Linked DNA regions of Nothobranchius furzeri. The main gene of each other region encodes a partner of the protein of the gene in region 3 in a complex. Links are inferred from orthologs where the notes say so. Each region holds a gene or a part of one and is shown on either strand. Other genes may lie near its edges.

What was found.
Region 1: txnl4a (region 3) and lsm8 share a complex: the UniProt entries of both Homo sapiens proteins name them as parts of the precatalytic spliceosome. The link is inferred for Nothobranchius furzeri from reciprocal best matches to the Homo sapiens genes TXNL4A and LSM8.
Region 2: the proteins of txnl4a (region 3) and pqbp1 are in contact, whole or in part, in a crystal structure (PDB 4BWQ), measured with the Homo sapiens proteins. The link is inferred for Nothobranchius furzeri from reciprocal best matches to the Homo sapiens genes TXNL4A and PQBP1. Residues at the interface, in NP_006692.1 of Homo sapiens: Gly11, Trp12, Val14, Asp15, Ile18, Asp68, Phe69, Met72, Tyr73, Glu74, Met82, Phe84, Asn87, His89, Met91, Gly97, Asn98, Asn99, Asn100, Lys101, Leu129; in NP_001027553.1 of Homo sapiens: Gln241, Gln242, Arg243, Pro244, Tyr245, Pro246, Ser247, Pro248, Gly249, Val251, Leu252, Ala254, Asn255.
Region 4: txnl4a (region 3) and aar2 share a complex: the UniProt entries of both Homo sapiens proteins name them as parts of the U5 snRNP complex. The link is inferred for Nothobranchius furzeri from reciprocal best matches to the Homo sapiens genes TXNL4A and AAR2.

What each region holds. Positions count from the first base shown.
Region 1 is NC_091741.1:34,219,222-34,224,117, reverse strand, and holds lsm8 (LSM8 homolog, U6 small nuclear RNA associated), read left to right. Parts: upstream 1-1,867; 5' UTR 1,868-2,492; coding exon 2,493-2,523; intron 2,524-2,990; coding exon 2,991-3,031; intron 3,032-3,500; coding exon 3,501-3,628; intron 3,629-3,751; coding exon 3,752-3,842; 3' UTR 3,843-4,063; downstream 4,064-4,896. UniProt on the Homo sapiens protein: Plays a role in pre-mRNA splicing as component of the U4/U6-U5 tri-snRNP complex that is involved in spliceosome assembly, and as component of the precatalytic spliceosome (spliceosome B complex).
Region 2 is NC_091755.1:41,960,809-41,965,966, reverse strand, and holds pqbp1 (polyglutamine-binding protein 1), read right to left. Parts: upstream 3,155-5,158; 5' UTR 3,044-3,154; intron 2,487-3,043; coding exon of another isoform or gene 2,482-2,486; exon of another isoform or gene 2,434-2,481; 5' UTR 2,433-2,433; coding exon 2,366-2,432; exon of another isoform or gene 2,363-2,365; intron 2,273-2,362; coding exon 2,161-2,272; intron 1,975-2,160; coding exon 1,874-1,974; intron 1,776-1,873; coding exon 1,575-1,775; intron 1,492-1,574; coding exon 1,434-1,491; intron 488-1,433; coding exon 337-487; 3' UTR 199-336; downstream 1-198. Other genes in the region: gpkow (G-patch domain and KOW motifs-containing protein), read left to right, coding at 1-21; timm17b (mitochondrial import inner membrane translocase subunit Tim17-B), read left to right, coding at 3,155-3,180, 4,170-4,269, 4,340-4,403, 4,501-4,629, 4,703-4,813, 4,999-5,060. UniProt on the Homo sapiens protein: Intrinsically disordered protein that acts as a scaffold, and which is involved in different processes, such as pre-mRNA splicing, transcription regulation, innate immunity and neuron development.
Region 3 is NC_091751.1:22,094,446-22,098,345, forward strand, and holds txnl4a (thioredoxin-like protein 4A), read left to right. Parts: upstream 1-1,752; 5' UTR 1,753-1,897; intron 1,898-2,079; 5' UTR 2,080-2,107; coding exon 2,108-2,260; intron 2,261-2,386; coding exon 2,387-2,490; intron 2,491-2,576; coding exon 2,577-2,748; 3' UTR 2,749-3,037; downstream 3,038-3,900. UniProt on the Homo sapiens protein: Plays a role in pre-mRNA splicing as component of the U5 snRNP and U4/U6-U5 tri-snRNP complexes that are involved in spliceosome assembly, and as component of the precatalytic spliceosome (spliceosome B complex).
Region 4 is NC_091755.1:59,903,351-59,908,053, forward strand, and holds aar2 (protein AAR2 homolog), read left to right. Parts: upstream 1-1,805; 5' UTR 1,806-2,002; coding exon 2,003-2,768; intron 2,769-2,858; coding exon 2,859-3,088; intron 3,089-3,518; coding exon 3,519-3,686; 3' UTR 3,687-3,907; downstream 3,908-4,703. UniProt on the Homo sapiens protein: Component of the U5 snRNP complex that is required for spliceosome assembly and for pre-mRNA splicing.

The DNA.
Region 1 (4,896 bases), on a different chromosome or scaffold from region 3:
ATTTCCTACTTAATTACGAGTACCAATACTTTGATAATTTTTTACTCAATTACAAGTAAAAGTACTTGCCTAAATTTTTACTCAAGTAAAAGTAAAAGGTATCGTAAACAAAATGTACTCAAAGTAAAAGTTACTTAGTTACATTTTTGTCAGCGTAAGGATGGCTACATCTAAGTAGTGCTAAATCGCAACGGCAGTTCACAATTCGCTTGTGTGTGCGCACACACACACTCAAACACGCACGGCTTGAAGGAAGGATTTCTATCCAATCAGTGAGAACAGGACGTGCACATTGATTGGACGAGGTTTTTCTAGGATGGTAAGTTTCAATTGTGATTCAAATTATTCTTTATTTTGAGAAAAAATAATTTTTTTAGATGCCATCAGCATGTGAGGTATCTCAATGTCCTCATGACAAAACTCTAACATGAGACTGTGCTCTAACCTGTCACATAGCAAGCCTAATGCAGTCAAACATGTCAGATGGACCGTATGACAGCTGCTAACGTTGGCCCTGCCCTACTTTACCTCTACATTACAGTTCCTTTATCCATGTCCATCCTAGAGATCCTCTCTGACCTTCATGCTTATTTAGAGCAGCTGATTTTTAAAGCTAGCAGAGTTCATCCTTGGCAGTGGGTTCACTCACTCATTTAACCCTTCACCACTGAAATCAGTTTGTTCATTTCAATCCTCCTAAATAATCCTCCAATCATCCAACTGGAATCCTTAAGGGTCCCGTAACATCCATCCTGTCAGAACAGGCCTTGGGAGCCCAGGTGTTACTAGAACTAACGGTGTCTCCTCACCAGCGTGAGCCTCCAAACATGAACTTTAAATTCATGCATTTATCTCCTCTTGTAACACTTTAACATGTTTTAAAAGGCTTGTATCATGATAAGTTACACCTCCCAGACCAAAGATAAGATAAAACATTATCATAAACACTGCAGAGACGTCATTATTTATGAAATATATGTTATTTTCCTGAGCCGTTACTTCACCCAAGATATGAGATGCATGGATTTGATGAAACCACGCTGTCTCATGCAGTCCTATATGTGTAACACACACACACACACACACACACGCACGCCATGACTAATTTAACTACATTGAATTGCTTTAGTAATAATTTAATCTCTAATTCTGGAGTAAAATAAAGAAACAAGCTAAATCATCACATATCTGTGGCATCAAGGAGCAACTTCTGAGTTCAAACACAGGGATGGAGCACAATGTTTACACCTGAACAGTATCATGATGTTTTAACTCACAGAGGCCTGCAGCTCTTCTGTTTATGAGCAAAGCGCTGATAATCCGCTTGTTATGAGCACTAAACAGTATTTTGCCGCTGCCGTGCGGAGCGGTAGGGAAACACATTTCAAACACGGAACCGAGTCTCGCTACCGAACCGAGCAGAATTCTGATGATGTCACACTGGTGCGCGAAGGTGCAGGTTCCAACCACAGGAGAGGAGGGAGAGAGGTGATAAACAGCGAGTTGATCGACTGAACTGATGATGTCTTTGAGCAAAAGTGTACACCCCCACACACCCCCGGTTTAGATGCGGTCCTCATGCAGGTGTCTCTTTCCGTTCTGACGCTGCTTCACGTAATATTTTTAATTTATTAAGCCTATAATTTATTTTTACTCAGTAACGGATATGATTTAAAATGTAGCGAATTACAATTCTTTTTAAAAAACTTACTCAAGTAAAAGTACAGATTTTAAAAATGACTTAAAAAGTATAAATATACAAAAAAGCTACTCAATTACAGTAACGTGAGTAAATGTAATTCATTACTTTCCACCTCTGTCGGATGCTCGAGCATCAGGAAGCAGAAAAGGAAAGACAATAGAAAATGTTTAAAGGGAGGAAAACGTAGACCAAAATGAAAAATAAATTTAAAAAAGGCAAAAGCTCAGGAGCACTGACAGGAAGAAGAAAGCAGAGCAAATATTGGAGGCACTCAAAGGGAGAGAAAGACATGAATAAAGAGGAGGACTAATAAAAAGGGAAAATAACTCATGGCAGAAGAGGGGAGAGTTTTGTAAATCCAATTAAAAGTAAGATTGCCGAAATTTATTTTAAGGGGGCCCCATGTCTGTGCTCGCCTTGGGCCCCAAATTGCTAAATGCGCCACTGATAGGGCTATAGTGTGTTTCATTTCTGTACCCAATATTTTGTCTTTAGGGTTGTAGCTCTGACATCACCTACTCACACGTTTAAACAACTTTCCAGATCAATGTTTGATGATAACATTTGGAGGAATTTGAATAAAAAAAACGTCACCGCTCGACCCTCCGCGCCCCTTCCTGCGCGATGATTCGGCGTATGATTAGTCTTGACTTGTCTCCGGTGTTTTGGTGCGGTGCGGTTTGATGCTCTTTCCGTTTTATTTTTTTACACAGCGGCGCAAATAGACAACCGTTGGAGGGATTTACCGATTTTTCTGCTGGACAGATAGAGACCGAGTCCGGGACGAAGCATGTCCACCGCGCTGGAGAGCTACATCAACCGTATCTTGCTGCTAGCATGCTAACTGCATGCTTAAGAAGTGCTAGTTAGCTTAGCGCGCTAGCTTCGATGTTTATGTAATTTGTTGTTGTTTAGGTGGAGTTTAGAGACGGTAAAAGCTAAAGCGACAAAAAAACTACTCATTTTTATTTAGAACTGAATGAACATACCTGGAATAACTTTTACGTAGCAGTTCAATTTCAAATCAGTGTTTGCATAAAAAAAAATCACTGATAGAATTTTATATGATCAGATGGCGTCAAAACGTAGATATTAACGGTTCTGATCTGCGTTAGTTCGGTTTCACGGGTTGTGAATAAAATATATTTAGTTTGTTTCTGATTTAAGATGTCGGGTTATTTAACTGAAGCACACCCATCGTTGTTGTTCGGGTGAAAACGGAGAAGCTAGACGTAATTTACTGATGAGTTGTGCACAGATGATGTTTCCTTGACTCCAGCTGATCCAGGAACTGTTGCCATCGTCACCTCAGACGGGAGGATGATCGTGGTGAGTTCACGTTTTCAGCTCAGCTGGACAGCAGAGAAGATGATACGGTTCTGGTGTTTAGATGTTTGAGGCTCCAGCACAAGGATTTCCCCTCCACCTGAACCGAAGCCTCATTTAAACCGGTGTCGGTCACAGGGGATTTAGTTTTTCCCTCGACTGTAAATCCAGAAATCTAGTCCTGTTCCCATCACTACAGATGCTGACAGACACGTTTTTACTTTTATGGTCAGATTTTTACTGTTTTGGGGCATAAAACTGCAGATAACTGAAAATCATTTTGAAATAAAAGTTCAAGTGTAATCTGAACTATTAGTATTTTATTAGCCTGGTTGTTTTAAGTATGATTCATTGTAGCTCAACACCACCAGCGTGTTGATGAATAATAATATTAAGTTGCTTTGGAATCCTCTGACTGAAAGGTGCTGTACTTATTTATTTATATTTATTTATTTATCATTTGGGTGTTCAGGGCACTTTGAAGGGCTTTGATCAGACCATCAACCTGATCCTGGATGAGAGCCACGAGCGCGTGTTCAGCTCCAACCAGGGGGTGGAGCAGGTGGTGCTGGGCCTCTACATCGTTAGAGGAGACAACGTGTGAGTCACCTCGGTCAAACTAAAACTAAATGAGAAATGATGACCCCTAAGGACGTCCCGGTGCACGGGGAGCTCGGCTGCTCCTCGGACAGCTTCTAACCGTTTCTCGTGTTTCTGCTCCAGCGCCGTGATCGGGGAGATTGATGAGGAGACCGACTCCACGCTGGATTTAGGGAACATCAGAGCTGAGCCGCTCAACTCTGTTGTACACTGACCTTTGAACCCTGCTGTCTCCATGGCAACCCATCACAGTACAGCTCAGTTCTGTTGCTGTCGTGTTCTGGGAGGCGTGATGAGTGGTGAAGCTGCAGAACCTCGATTGTTCTGTTTCTGTTTGTATTTTTTATAAATAACATGTTGGATTTGTTTTCTACTTCATGTTTTTGTCAGTCTGAGATCATTTTAATAAAGTCTGATTTGTTAAGCTGTTTATAATGAAGTCCTCCGGTCTCTAAACATCCAGACTCTGGAGCAGAACAAGAAAACAACACATAAACAATGAAACTTTAATAAAATATGTGGAAAAACAAGATCGTTGCCAAAGAAACATTAAATAGCGCCAACTCTACGGCTTTGTTCAAACAGCTCATGGTCTCTATTTTAGTTCTGATATCTTTAGTCATGAATGAGTAATTATTTCTCCATCTGGAAGAAGAATGAGGATCTGTCCTGTTCTCATTTGTCTAGCATCGATTAATCGGGGCTGCCTATGGACAATCGTTAGCATTGACTGCCGATGCTCGCTTGGATTAGAGGCGATTGAATCCACTTGAGAATCGTTCGTGGAGCCGGGAGAGGAGGGGAGCGCTTTGTCAAGCAGGAATTTATCAGGAGAGCCCCGATGTTCAAGGTTCAAGGTTGTCTTTATTAATCCCCAAGGGGGAAATTGAATTGCCTTGGACAAGTAAACACAACATGCACATCCACACAATAAAACATTCACTGGTCCTAATAAAATATGAAAATATCAAATATACAATCATACGAAATGGTCATTGTAAAAACGCACTGCAGCTGGAATAAAAGAGTTCCTAAAACGTTCAGTGGAGCACCGGGGCGTTAACATTCGCCCACTGAAAGAGCTCCCGAGATCCTTAAAAATGTGGTGAAGGGGGTGATCCTCCAGAGTCATAACTGTCTTAAGTTTACGCTTAATCCTTTTGTCGATGATCATGTCAAATGAGTCCAAGCGTTGCCCAACCACTGAGCCAGATTTCTTGATCATTTTGTTGATCCTGTTTTTGTCCTCAGCAATGAGGCTCCTGCCC
Region 2 (5,158 bases), on a different chromosome or scaffold from region 3:
CACTACGTAGGAGACCACTGAAGCCTGGTCCTTCGCCTCGTCTTAAGTGTTGCTTTTCTAATGATGGACAGTATTTTAACACTTTGGAATTTTTAATAAAACCTTGGAAAAGTGTTTGTGCAGGCGTTCTTACAGTTACGACGAGCCCCAGCAGATGCTTTTCTCACCAGAGTAAGAACTGATTATGTTAACTGGTGGTTCTAGTAACAACATGAAATCCATTTTATTATAAAACATATTTACAACAAGTTTGATCTCTAAAATGTCAGCATGCGACATCACGTCTAACAACAAGAGGTGTGCGCAGGACGCAGAGCGTCTCCGTGGGAGCGCTTCTCATTCCTTGGGCGGTTGGTTGGCAGCGTTGGCCCGCAGCACCGCGCCTGGACTCGGGTACGGCCGCTGCTGGAACAGCGGGCCGGCGGCTGTGGTGTCTGCACCGGTTTTGGCCTCGTTGCGTTTGGGAAGACCACTCGACCAAGAGCCCCTGTGGAAAACAGTTCAGCAGACCTTTAGAGTGGGCCAGCTTGTTTGCTAACGCCTGGTTGTTTAGCTAGCGCTAGAGCCGTTTCAGCTGGTTAACTTGACCGTTTCGTGTATTCAGCAGACGCGTTTGTCCAGAGTGACTCACAAATGAGCGTTTTTACACACAACACAAATGTGTTGGGCTGTTCTGCAAAAAAAACCTAAAGTTCTGACTTCAGTCGACAGGACAAACCACAGAACCCGATCCCTTTAGTACCCGTTTCAGCCAGAAGCCTTCCAGGAATCCACTTGTTGAAAACTACAAATTTTATTCCTGCAAGTGTGCATTAGTGGCATTTCCATAGATGCGGCTAAAGACGCCATCACTATAAAGCCAGGCGTTGAGTTTTGAATAAATAATATGTAAAGAAAGTTGTAATAATGGGTCAAGGTGACAGGTGCAGCTTTTCCAAAACACGGGATTTAGCTGAATTTAAAGCCTAGACTGCAGAAAGCTTGGCCGAAAGAAAAATGATACTAATGAAAGTAGAACGACTACTTTAGAAGACCCCGAGGCTAAAACTGTATAAATCACATGTTTGATTCAAGTAGCTTTAAAGACGTAAATAAAAACATGATCATGCACCAGAGTTCAGTTCCGGCGGGTCCAGCCCAGAGGGTGAAACCGGAGGAGAGGGACTGCAGCGTGTGACTCAGAAAACTGCAGCCACCTCGCTCCCATGAGGTTTCAGAGCCACGTGACTTGGCGCCTGCTTTGCAGTGCCAGCAGCAGTCGTCCAAAGTTTCTACCCAGCATGCATCATGTTACACCGCTGCTGCAGTGCTGTGCATTCAATTAAAGACTTAAATGTCTGCTTTGTTCTTTAACTTACAAAGCTGAAGCTGACATGTAACTGAGTGGAATGACGACAGGGGTAATTTCCTGCCTGCTGCTTGTTTTACTTTACCTGGGAGCATCAGAATAAGCGCTGGGGTCCATGGGGTCCATCTCGTCATCCTTTCTTCCTGCAAACACGATCAGATTTTAACTGTTATTGTATCACAGATAAAGCTTTAACGTGAAAACGAAAGACTTCTGTAAGCATCACCTCTTTTGTTCTTGTTGTATGGTGCCATGTCGTCCCTCCTTTGCTTTCTTCTGTCTCTGTCCCGCCCATCATCTCTGTCCCTGTCTCTGTCCCGATCTCTTTCTCTTTCCCGGTCCCTATCCCTGTCTCTGTCCCTTTCCCGTTCTCTCTCTCTGTCTGGCTTCTCAAACGGTCGCTCTCCTCTTTCATCTCCCAAATCAGCTAAAAACAAATAATAATGCAATTTCTGTGAAAAACATTCCTCGTTTCTTTTTTAAAGACACTTATGCAAAACTGGCGAGTTTAGTTTTTAAACCCACCTTTCATTTTCTTGGCAGCTTTTGTTATCACAGACGAGGGGTCATTTGGGGACAGCCAGGCGACTAGATCCGTCTCAACATTCCAGTAGTAAGGAAGACCACTGAGGGTGGCAGGAAATCAGGAAGAGAAGGCTAATCAGCTTACATACTAAACATGTAAAAGAGACCCAATGACATCGCTTTGTGAATTCACTGGAAAGCTTCATCTGGACTGCAAACACCCAAACACAAGCGCACTGGAGGTAAAACTACCAAAGAACCGTAGATAACCAGTACAGTGTACGTACCAAGCTGGATCAAACACTTTGTACCAGTTTGGAGGAAGATTCTCTGCTCTGGTGGCTTCATAATCTACATTATTGTCATCATAATCTTCGGCAATAATCTCCTCATCTGCACCTGTTATTAAAGGAGAAAATACTGTTACACGACATACGTGTAAAGTCACAGAGAAGGATGCATGGAGCCAGCGTGTTCAAGCCAAATGAGAACCTCGTTCTGTTGGTTTAACGATCCCCCTCTTGGCCAAGCGGGCCAGCAGAGCTGGAGGAAGAGGCATCCTGAAAAACACGAGATGCTGTCACAACAGTCACCTCGAACATCTGTACATGAGGTCAGTGGTTTCATAAATCCACAGCAAAGATACAGAAAATTTACTTGTTTCTCATGTGTTCTGATATTTAAAGTATACAGCCTCAATTATACACAACGGGGTTTATCCCAATAAACAAAACGTCTCTTTACTGCCAAATTACGTACAAAAACGAGTTAATTTATAACAAATAAACATCTGAACAGAAACCTTTCAGATAAAACATTGTAATGAAATATGGAGAACATAAAGCTCCCAACAGCACACGCAGTAAAAGGCGTCGGGCTTTCAATACAATTTGAATAAATGCTGTTCTTACGTTTTCAGTTGAAGTTATGTTCAACATTTGAGTTGTGTTATTTTTAAAGACTTTAACTACAGATGTAGAAACAGTCTGACATTCGTAAAATCTGCATTTATTTGCACGAACAACAAACGTTTACCCGAAGGCTAACCCTGTTAGCAACCGCTGGATGATTAAATCAACAAGCAGACTGCGTAAGTACTTCCATGCCCGGAAGGAACGAAAATCTGAACGTTTACGCTTCAAAACGGGATCCGAACAGGAACAAGTTTACCTGAGATAAAGAAATTCACCCAATAGCAGAGAAAATGATGTTAGCACCGCCAACGCACTAGTAGCGCCGGTCGCACGTGTATGACGTCACAACGTCTAGACGAAAACAAACATGGAGGAATATGTCCGCGAACCTTGGTAAGATTAGTTTGTCTTTAACTGTAAACTAAATACGGCTAACATACATACCAGTGTTGGTTTTTCTAGTGAAACATAAACATGTGAGAGAACAGAGACGCGTTGTGAGTTCTGCTGTCAATCCACGTATATATACGTGCTTACGTTCAATGCAATTCAAAAATACTTTATTAATCCCAGAGGAAATTGATTGCTGTAGTAGCTCAGAATAATAATAATAAACAAGTCATCAAAGAGTTGTTGTATATTACAATGGCTGTTGGCAGGAAGGATCTCCAGTAGCGGTCAGTGTTGCAGCCAAACTGAAGAAGCCTCTGACTGAAGACACTCTTCCGTTGTCGGACAGTCTTGTGAAGAGAACGCTCAGGGTTGTCCATAATTTTCTTGATTCTCTGGAGAATCCTCCTTTGCATTTTCTCCTCCAGCGGTTCCGAAACTGCCGAAACTCTGGCTGAGTCCTTGAAAGGGCTTGGAGTTCCTCCATCTTGTTGGCCAGTGATCTCACATTGCCCGTTATGATCGATGGAAGAGACGGTTTGAATTTCCTCTTTCTCTGTCTCCGTTTTGCTCCCGCTCTGCACCCACGCTTCTTGCGTTTTAGCTCATTTGGGATTTGTGGCTTCAGTTGAGGTATTATTTCAGCCTTTCCAATGTTAATCAGCTGCTCCCGATTGTAAACCAGCTTGTTGCCATGGTTACGCATCATAACAAATGCTCAAAAAGTGTAAAAAGCTAAAAAATAGCAGTAAAAATCCTCCAAGCTTCACAGCACCAGAAACAGAAAAGTAGTGTCCAAAAAAATACCGTTTCTCTTGAGAAACTAGAAGAAAAAATGCCCAAGAAAAGGCAAAACTTACATATAGTCAACAGAGCTACTCCAACATGCAGCCACCCAGAGCAGCGCAGTTCCGTTGACGTCTGTATCCTGATCTGACTGTATATCTTGTATTTTGACGGTGTCTTGTGTGTCCTCCCCTAACCTCCTGCAGCCCCTGGAGGATTGTGGACGACTGTGGAGGAGCTTTCTCCATGGGTGTCATCGGTGGAGGGGTGTTCCAGGCCATCAAGGGCTTCCGAAATGCCCCTGCTGTGAGTTTAAAACAGACTAGTTTGACTTGACTTCTTGGAAGCCTTTATAAACCTGTCTGTAACATTTCAGGGTGTTGGACACAGACTAAGAGGAAGTGCAAAGGCAGTGAGAGTGAGGGCCCCACAGATTGGAGGTTTGACCCGTTGCTGCTCTGCTCCTCACACACCACTGAAGGATTTTGGTCCCTTTCTCTAAACTGAGCTTCAGCACTGACGTGCTTCTTCTACCAGGTAGCTTTGCCGTATGGGGAGGTCTCTTCTCTACGATTGACTGTGGCTTGGTTCGCCTGAGAGGGAAAGAAGACCCGTGGAACTCTATAACAAGTGGTGCGCTGACTGGAGCCATTCTAGCAGCACGCAGTGAGGATAACACTCAACAACCAAACACTAGACAGGAACTCAGTAACTCACCAAATGTTTTGGTTTGCCTCAGGTGGGCCGTTGACCATGATGGGCTCGGCCATGATGGGCGGGGTTTTACTCGCTCTCATAGAAGGTTTTGGCATTCTCCTAACCAGATACACAGCCCAGCAGTTTCAGAACCGTGAGTGCCTTTCCCGTCTCTGTAATATACACCAGGTGCTCAAACTGAACACCTGCAGACATCTTTAAACCACTTTTGGGTTTTAGTTAAGCCATCTGTCGTTTGAAACCGATAACCAGTAGGATACTTGCAGCACGTCCAAGAAAAGCCTGACAAGTTCACTTCTTTCTGCTTGTTGTCTCCAGCCGTTCCCTTTGCAGAGGACCCCAGTCAGCTTCCTCCGAAGGACGGAGGGCCCCCCCCATAGCCAGCAGCAGGGCCCAAAAGGGCTGTTCCAGTAGAGGGTTGAGTCCAGCTGTAGACCAGAGCAGCAATGCCCTTAGGACTTGGCTGTAGAACCTCAGG
Region 3 (3,900 bases):
GGACTCAAGACATTATAATGACCTTTTTTTTTTTATCGTGGCCTAACAACACACTGATGGACCTTCTTCATATGATGTGACGTTGATAGAACCACTGATGGAGACATGGGGTCTCTTCTATTTGTGAACTCTCCATGCGTCGTGTGTTGAAGCGAGCGTGTGACACCGGAGCCTGATCCAGTCTTGGGGAACTGGGTGTGGTTTTACAGCTCGGAGCCTGCAGATCCAGTATGGTGTGTGGAAATTTAGGCTAAGTGACCGAATTTGGTCAGAGTGAGGATGTTGTGCAATATGAAAACCAGCCAAATGGAACCGAATAAACCAAGCCTTTTGTCAGCTTTAAGGGATGATTGCTGTGGTGATGGTAGTCGGAGAATAGATTAGAACTTTATCCCACGTCAGCTACCATGACTGTTTGTTAATCAATCATGTCTTAAACCAAATCTTCTAACAGGAGAAAGGTGAACTCATCATTCACTGGGTCATTCATTACCACAGTGATGCGGTTAATTAGTCATGAAATGAAAAAAATATAACTTTTAGACATATCTAATGATCATTTAGACTCTCTCTCTCTAGGGAGTGCCACAATGTGCTGCTATGTCGTCAGACTGGAACGTTTTTTCTTTAACCTTTATACTATCTTTTTCTTCTTTGATTGTACTGCAGTAAATTGCACAATAAGTGTTTTTTCTTCGTGTTTTTCCACTATTAGAATTGTACACCCACACTTTAAATAAAATAACGTCTCTAAATCTAAGTAAGACTGAAAGATTGATGATTTATTTGTTTATTCGTAATGGTATTTTCAAGTTTTAAAAGTGCTTCAGCATTTAAATAAGTCCTTGAAAACAACTGAAACTGACTTTATGGTGCAGACGTTTCCTTTAATGAGACAGCAAAGTGACGTGATTGTTGTGAACAAGTATAAACGGTCTCTGTGCAACACCGGTGTAACGTGCTGGAAAATATTTAAAAACTCCATCTTAAAGTGCTTGAAAAGGGTTTACATTTTATTATTTACAAAGTGTGTTAGGAAGCCTGCAAAAAATCAAGTACGACACGTAGTATTTGACATTGCATGATGAGTTAGGGTTGGGTTTTTACAAATTTTTCTTTGGAATCTCTTTTTGTGGAAGAATTTGAGTTTGAACGCAGAGTAAAACTCCAAACTAATCATTTTTCAAGCTGTATCCATTTTACAGCAAGTGTGCCAAATATACACATTGTTCTAAATTTGTGAACTTGTTAAGAATCAGAAATACTTCACAGCATCAAATATTAACAGTTTTTTTTGTAAAGTACACAAACAACACGTGCACGTTTTAATTGAAGTGTGGCAAACAAGCTTTACAAATAAAGAGTGCTCCGAGATTTCCTAAAAAATGTATTCATGTTGCAAATTTCTAATTATGTTATCTAGACTGTAAACATAATTTCTGTTTGTTATTGAGCTGTTTGAAAATCTGTTTGTTCTCCATGCATGAATACGAAATACATTTAATACTAGAAGTATTTCTCTAGTTGATCATCCAAAAAGATGATCATCCAAAAAGATATTGCTGGAAAACATAACGTAAATATATTTATTTTAAAAGTACTTGCTGGAGTGAAAAGTAATTATTTCAAATAATTAATTATTTAAAATTTTTATTTTTTGTGTGCGGCTTTCACATTAAAAAATAATAAATAAATAAATTGGGACTTTTTAAAAGAGTTTTTCGAATTGAGCGACTATGACGTAAATTTAACGCGTCTCCTGCGTCGCTGATTTGATGACGTCGTGAAGCGTTTGTTTTCCGTGGGGTTTAAAAGAAGTCACATTGAACATAGCTGCTTTATCTATAGTTAGTCCGTTTTCTTCCCGCCACTTAAATACTCTATTTTATATTTTGGGGTAAGTGTTTCAGAATATTTAGTGGGAAGTTTCATAATTGTGTCTTTCAGATTGTATCCATGGTTAACGCTAACTAGCTAGCTAGCTGTTGCCGGTCAAACCGTTCTCTGGTACTCAGAGATGTTTGTTTAATTTAATGTTCAGCTGTGATCGATTTGAACTCTTTATTTGATCCATTTCAGGTTAGAATTTGCTCATTTTTGAGTCAAGATGTCGTACATGTTACCGCATCTCCACAATGGATGGCAGGTCGACCAAGCCATCCTGTCTGAGGAGGACCGAGTCCTCGTCATCCGCTTCGGACACGACTGGGACCCAACATGTATGAAGATGGACGAGGTTCTTTACAGCATCGCTGAAAAGGTTTGATTTGTTTCCTGTCTTTATTATATAAAGTCCGGTTGGCTCAGATTCAGGAGTCGCGTCACATTACCTGCTGGCGTGCTCCAAATGCCATGTTTAATTCATTCTTGGTTTGTTTATTTACAGGTGAAGAACTTTGCTGTCATTTACCTCGTGGACATCACAGAAGTGCCTGATTTCAATAAGATGTACGAGTTGTACGACCCCTGCACTGTCATGTTCTTTTTCAGGTAGCTCTTCCAGTTCCACATGTTGCAATAGACAGGGCAGCTGAGTAAACATATTTTAAGGTGATATTTTTGTCTTTCTCTTCCAGGAACAAACACATCATGATTGATTTGGGCACCGGTAACAATAACAAGATCAACTGGATAATCGAGGACAAACAGGAGATGATAGATATTGTTGAAACTGTGTATCGAGGAGCAAGGAAAGGAAGAGGTTTGGTGGTGTCTCCCAAGGATTACTCTACAAAATACAGATACTGATTTTTTTTCATCCTCCTTTGTTCAGTTTATTATTTTTTCATTTGACAAAATGAAGAGACAAAAAACACAAAAGGTTCAGGAATATTCTTCAGCGTGTTTACCTTTGGTAGTAAAACAGGACATTGTTGATAATGGTGGGTTTAATGTCACTTTTTGTTTTTGCAAACGTAGCTTCATAAATATTAAGTTTTGTGTTTTTTAAGGCTTATTTCTGTGAAATATGTCAGTGTGGAACACATCGGTAATATTGTACAACTTGTAACTGTTTTAATAAAAAACTTTTACTTAAGATTTAAATGTAGTGTTTTAATTTATTTTATATATATATATATATATATATATATATATATATATATTCTGAACCTGCTTGTCCATGTAGGGTCGCGGGGGGCTGGTGCCTATCTCCAGCTGTCACTGGGCAACCAGGCGGGGTTCACCCTGGACAGAGCCAGTCTATCTAGTACTTCTAAGGCCTATAAAATAAACATGTTTATCATGAGTACAAGCTGTTCCACCACATCATTAAGTATAAGACTGATAGATTTATGAGTGTAAAACTTAAAATCCTGCTTTTCTGTTGTTAATACTCTTAATTCTAGAAGGCTTTTAATGACTGGCTAAAAAATATGGCTATAAGTTTATAAATATAATGAATATATGATCTTATTTAATTATGGTTATGCAAAATAAGATAGTAGACAGGCTTTTTAAAATGTTAAGTATTTTAAATAAAACGAATCTGTGCATAATGTTGGAAATCATACCATTTTAATGACATACCTGGAATCTTCCACTAGAGGGAGTTAGAGCTCTTGACTGCACCTTTGCCTCATTGGATCATTGTAAAACTTCATTATAACATTAATTAATAGTGATACTAAATGTAGAAGGACGTATGAGCCAAACACCAGTGAGAGATGAACACTGAAACCAAGAGTAATACATTTTAATGCAAATTTTTTTATAGGAAATGCACTGAGGCACAATATTAAATACCACACTGGCCAAAAAAAGTCACATTAATATTTCTTTGAATTGCCTTTAGCTTCAGTTACGACACACATTTGCTGTAGCATTGTTTCCATACGCTTCTGCAGTGTCACCAGATTCACTTCCATCCAGTGTTGCATTAACTTTTCACCAAGATCTTGC
Region 4 (4,703 bases), on a different chromosome or scaffold from region 3:
ACATTTAAGGAAATATTAAAATCTTCCTCAACATTGTTAAATATAAAACTTGTTTAAGATTCTCAACTTTATTTTTTTCCTTCTTTTGGCAGGTCGGTCACATCCTGGTGTCCATCTATGGTCTGACGCAGCAGATAAGGTGTCAGAGGAGTGGGAAGCAGACATCTGATCTGGAGAAGCCAGTTGAGAGCATGGAGCAGCTCATCCTTCAAAACTGCAATCCTACTTATTTGGTAGCAAAATTACTTTAATAATTCAGGTTTATAGTCTTTAATTTCAATGACTGACAATGCAAGCCTTATGTTTCTTCTTGCATTCTTTAAGACAGAGACAACTTCTTGCTCAACTGTTCGGAAAATACAAGGAAAGAAGAGGAAGAGGAAATTATTCATCAACATAATCAAATTACTGATTACTTGTTGGCAAAAACTTCAGAGCAGCTACAAATCTAAGTAGGGTCTGGTGTGACTGGTAACTTCTCACAAAAACACCAGTTTAAGTATATTCACAGCACCGTGATATGACCCTTTTTGCAAAGATAGCTGATAATAAACATGAATGTTAAGTTCTCATTAGTGTTCTTGCTCTTTCTGCATTTGTTAGCATTGCTCCTTGTTATGTTGTTATAGTTTCATTGTAACCACAAATAAGCTAAATGCAAATATTCAGCATTATGCACATTTCAAAGTCTCATGTGATGTGTTTGTGAGTCAAACGTAAATGTGTCTCTGTGTGTTATCCTGTGAATTCAATGTCAGATTTTCTTCATAAAAATATTAAGAAAACAACAAAAATAATTTATATTATTCTCTTCTTAATGTTAGTTAGTATTTAGAGAGTCCCACCTTTGATAATTCCAAAAGGCCATTGCAAATTATTTTTTTAATAATTCAAAGGAACTGGTGCTTTTAAAAGAGAAGAGGAGATGGGACATTAATGCCCTCTGGTGGCACAGAGATGAACTACAGTCTAGTTCAATTAAAAAAAACTTTTTTGCATTATCATTATCATCATCATCATCATCATTATTATTATTATTATTATTATTATTATTATGAAAAACATCCCATTTTTGTCTTATTGGGGATGATGGAGGACTAGAAAGAGCAATCACAAAAATTTAATTAGCGCAAACACTTCCTGTAAATTATTACAAAACATGACATGTCTGAGTTAACAAGAGAGGAACTCGCAGCCTCTAGCTGTCTTTTTTATTAAGCTAAAAACCCAATTGAAATATTTTCGACATTTCCAAATCAGTCTTGTTCACAATCACTCCTTCCAATGGGTATTGCATAGAACAGTCCAACATAAATATTGACAATAATAATAAGTAAAACATTTTATAATGAAATTTTGCCAGAATATAATCTTACTAATTTAAAGGGCAATGTAAAATAAATGTACTGCAATGGAAAATGTTAATCCTGAGTACATAAAATAAATAGTTTTTAAACAGTCTTATAAATTTATTTTAGCGAGTTTTGCTCATTGTTGGGCTTTTTACATAGCAAAAGCGATTACAGCATCAATTCTGCCACTGCGAAAAAAATCTGCTTTAAAATCTTTTTATTGCTTCATTTTCCCAAACCTAAATTTCTAAAAAGATATATTAAGAAAAACTTGGAGGCCAAGTTGTGCAAAAGAGCGGAACTGTTCTAATGAGACACTGTTTCCACCCTGAGCATTTATTTTGTTACACAGATTTCCGGCAAACGAAATAGCAGCGTTGTTGTTTGGAACGTCCACTAGTGTAACTGTAGGTACAGTTTGTTTTTATAAGTGGACGCGTAGACCGTAAAATGGGGTTTTTCGAAATGTAATTAGTTTTTTTTACTTTATTGATAATCTTCGCTGCTTAAATAAGATACTTTAAAACCCTAAAATTAGCATTCGCGTTCAAATACGGAAACACTTGAATGATGAACAGCTCACGTAGCACCTGAGAGAATTTACGCATGTTTCTCAGTAAATATAGTTTGTAGATTAGTAGTAAACAAAGATGGCCAGCAGCAGCTCTTCGAACATGGATCCAGATGTTGCTTGGTCGTTATTTGAAGAAGGAGCTACTTTGGTTCTGCTGGGTGTTCCTCAGGGCACCGAGCTTGGGATTGACTGCAAAAGCTGGCAGGTTGGTCCTCGGTTTCGTGGTGTTAAGATGATCCCCCCTGGTTTACACTTCCTCCATTACTGCTCTGTAAACTCGCCAAGCTGTGGTGGAGAAATCGGTCCTAAAACGGGTCTTTTCCTCACCCTGAAACCAAGAGAAATTCTCCTGGCCAACTGGGATCCCAAAGAAGAAGATCTGGATTTCTCAGCCTCCAGGAATGAAGAGGAAGTGAACAGGATCCGGGGGACTTTGCGGGAGCTGGATCCCTTCTTGGGCCCTTATCCCTATGAGGTCATGAGGAAGTGGGTGTCTCTCACCGATCACATCAGCGAGAAGCTGGCCAGTGACTTACAGCCTCTGACGGGTCGAATCTGCGCCTTCAGTGATGTCGTCCCCGAGCTTCAGTTCAGACACACAAAAGACAGGGCAGAGCAGCCGAGGAACGACACGGCCTGCCAGAGCATGAAAGAGGGACTGGACAGGCTTCCCAAAATGAAGCACAGAGAAGGGACTGAACTGCGCTTTTCAGTTATTCCCAAAAAGACCTACCCTCCTGGGGCTACTCCAGCTGAGATCACGAAATGCAGCATGGACTTGAGCTATGCCCTGGAGGGGGTTCTGGAGAAGAAATACGAGAACCAGCCTCTAAACTTGCTTGGTTTGTGTCACAAAGATTAATGCACTGTTACAAGAATGCAACTGCCTAATGCCTATGCAACTAAATATCTGAATCTCAAATCTCTTCCAGGTGAGCTGCAGTTTGCTTTTGTGTGTTTCTTGATTGGGAATGTGTACGAGGGCTTTGAGCACTGGAAGAGCCTCCTGGCTCTGCTGTGCCGCTCGGAGGAGGCCATGAGGAGGAGGAAGGAGCTCTATCTGGGACTCATCACTGTGCTCTACCACCAGCTCGGAGAAGTCCCTCCTGACTTCTTTGTTGACATTGTGTCACAGAACAACTTCCTCACCAGCACGCTGCAGGTACAGCAGATGTGCAACAGCTGCACGCACAATGTTAGGGAAATATTCAAAATGTTTCTGAATCAGAAAAGAGCTGTCACTAGAGGCACAAACATCATGTTTTTATTTCTTGTGACCCTAAATTGTTTATAAATGTAACAAACAACTTGTACATTTCAGACCGGATATCCATCATTTTCCAGCATTTCCAGCCTTCATTTAAAACTATAAAAGGTAGCAGGGGACATGAATCCTTTCAACGAGGTCTTTAAGTAATATTTTCATTTAAAATCTGTCTTCAATTTTTTTTTCTTCTTTCAAAATGATTTTTAAGCAGCTACAAGATGGAAAATCTACTAGAGCAAGAATTAGGGTCCCATATTTTGTTTCTATTTGATCTCAAACTGGTGTTCTTCATTGGGGATTATTAAATCGACTTTTTATCTTGCAGGATTTTTTCCAGTTTGCCACTGGACCTGGTGTGGATGGGATCCTACAAAAGAAGGCAGAGAAGTTCAAAACCCACCTAACCAAGAAGTTTCGTTGGGATTTCGATGCAGATTTGGACGACTGTGCACCTGTAGTGGTGGAGCTGCCTGAAGGCGTCACAGTGGACTAATTCTCCCATCGTGCAGTTTCTCCTCTTGGCCTCATACCGGTTCTACAGCAGCACACTGCCACGGTTGTTCTGTGTGGTTCCAACATGTCTTCTATTGTTTGTCTTTTCATAAGGAGAAGATAATATGTTCACGAATCATCTGTAGTGATGTAGTCAGAGAGAGGAGAGGTTTGATCTGAGGTCTGGTGGTTTTTATATTAAATAAAGTCAGTAACAATTTATTTTGTTTTATTTGTATAGTTGTTTCAAAAGAACATTTACATTCTACCACATTATTGGAAAGTTTTGAACAGTAGTTCATGAATCTATGAACAAATCTAAACATGCAAGACATCATATGCGTAACATTTGTTTCAAAATAAAGCACTATTGTCCAACAGGAAAGTGGGAACATATTTATATAAAGCAACCATGTGGTCAGGTTGCCCCTGAACGTCTCCCTAGTGAGGGGCTTTCCAGACACATCCAACCTGGAGAAGACCCAGGACACGCTGGAGGGACTGCGTCAGCTGGCCAGGCACTGCCTTAGGGTTCCCTTAGAGTAGCTGGCCCAAGTGGCTGGGGAGAAGGAAGTCTGGGCCTCGGCTTAGGCTGACCTGACCCGTGACCTGACTCTGGATAAGCGGCTGCAAATGGATGGATGAATGTCAGCCTCTTTTAATTATCATGAATGTTTAACATGTCCACTAGGGGGAACTGGAGGACTGGTTTTCACTATGAGCTCCTTTTAGTTTAGTCGGTTTTCAAAAACCACACAATAAAGGTTCTGTTTATAAAAGCAGGAACACCTCAAGATCCTACCAGGTTTTCAAACCTCAAACCTATCAAATACTTTTTTTTTTTCATATAAGCTGATAATTAAGAAGATGTGTGTTATGCACTGACTGGATCTGGATAACAAACACAGATCTATCTCTCTGTGTCCCCCTGCCAATATCTGATTGGACAAATCTTGTCCAGTCTCATCACTTCACACATTTCAACTCAGCCCCTATCCCTCCTGAACTTTTTTTTTAC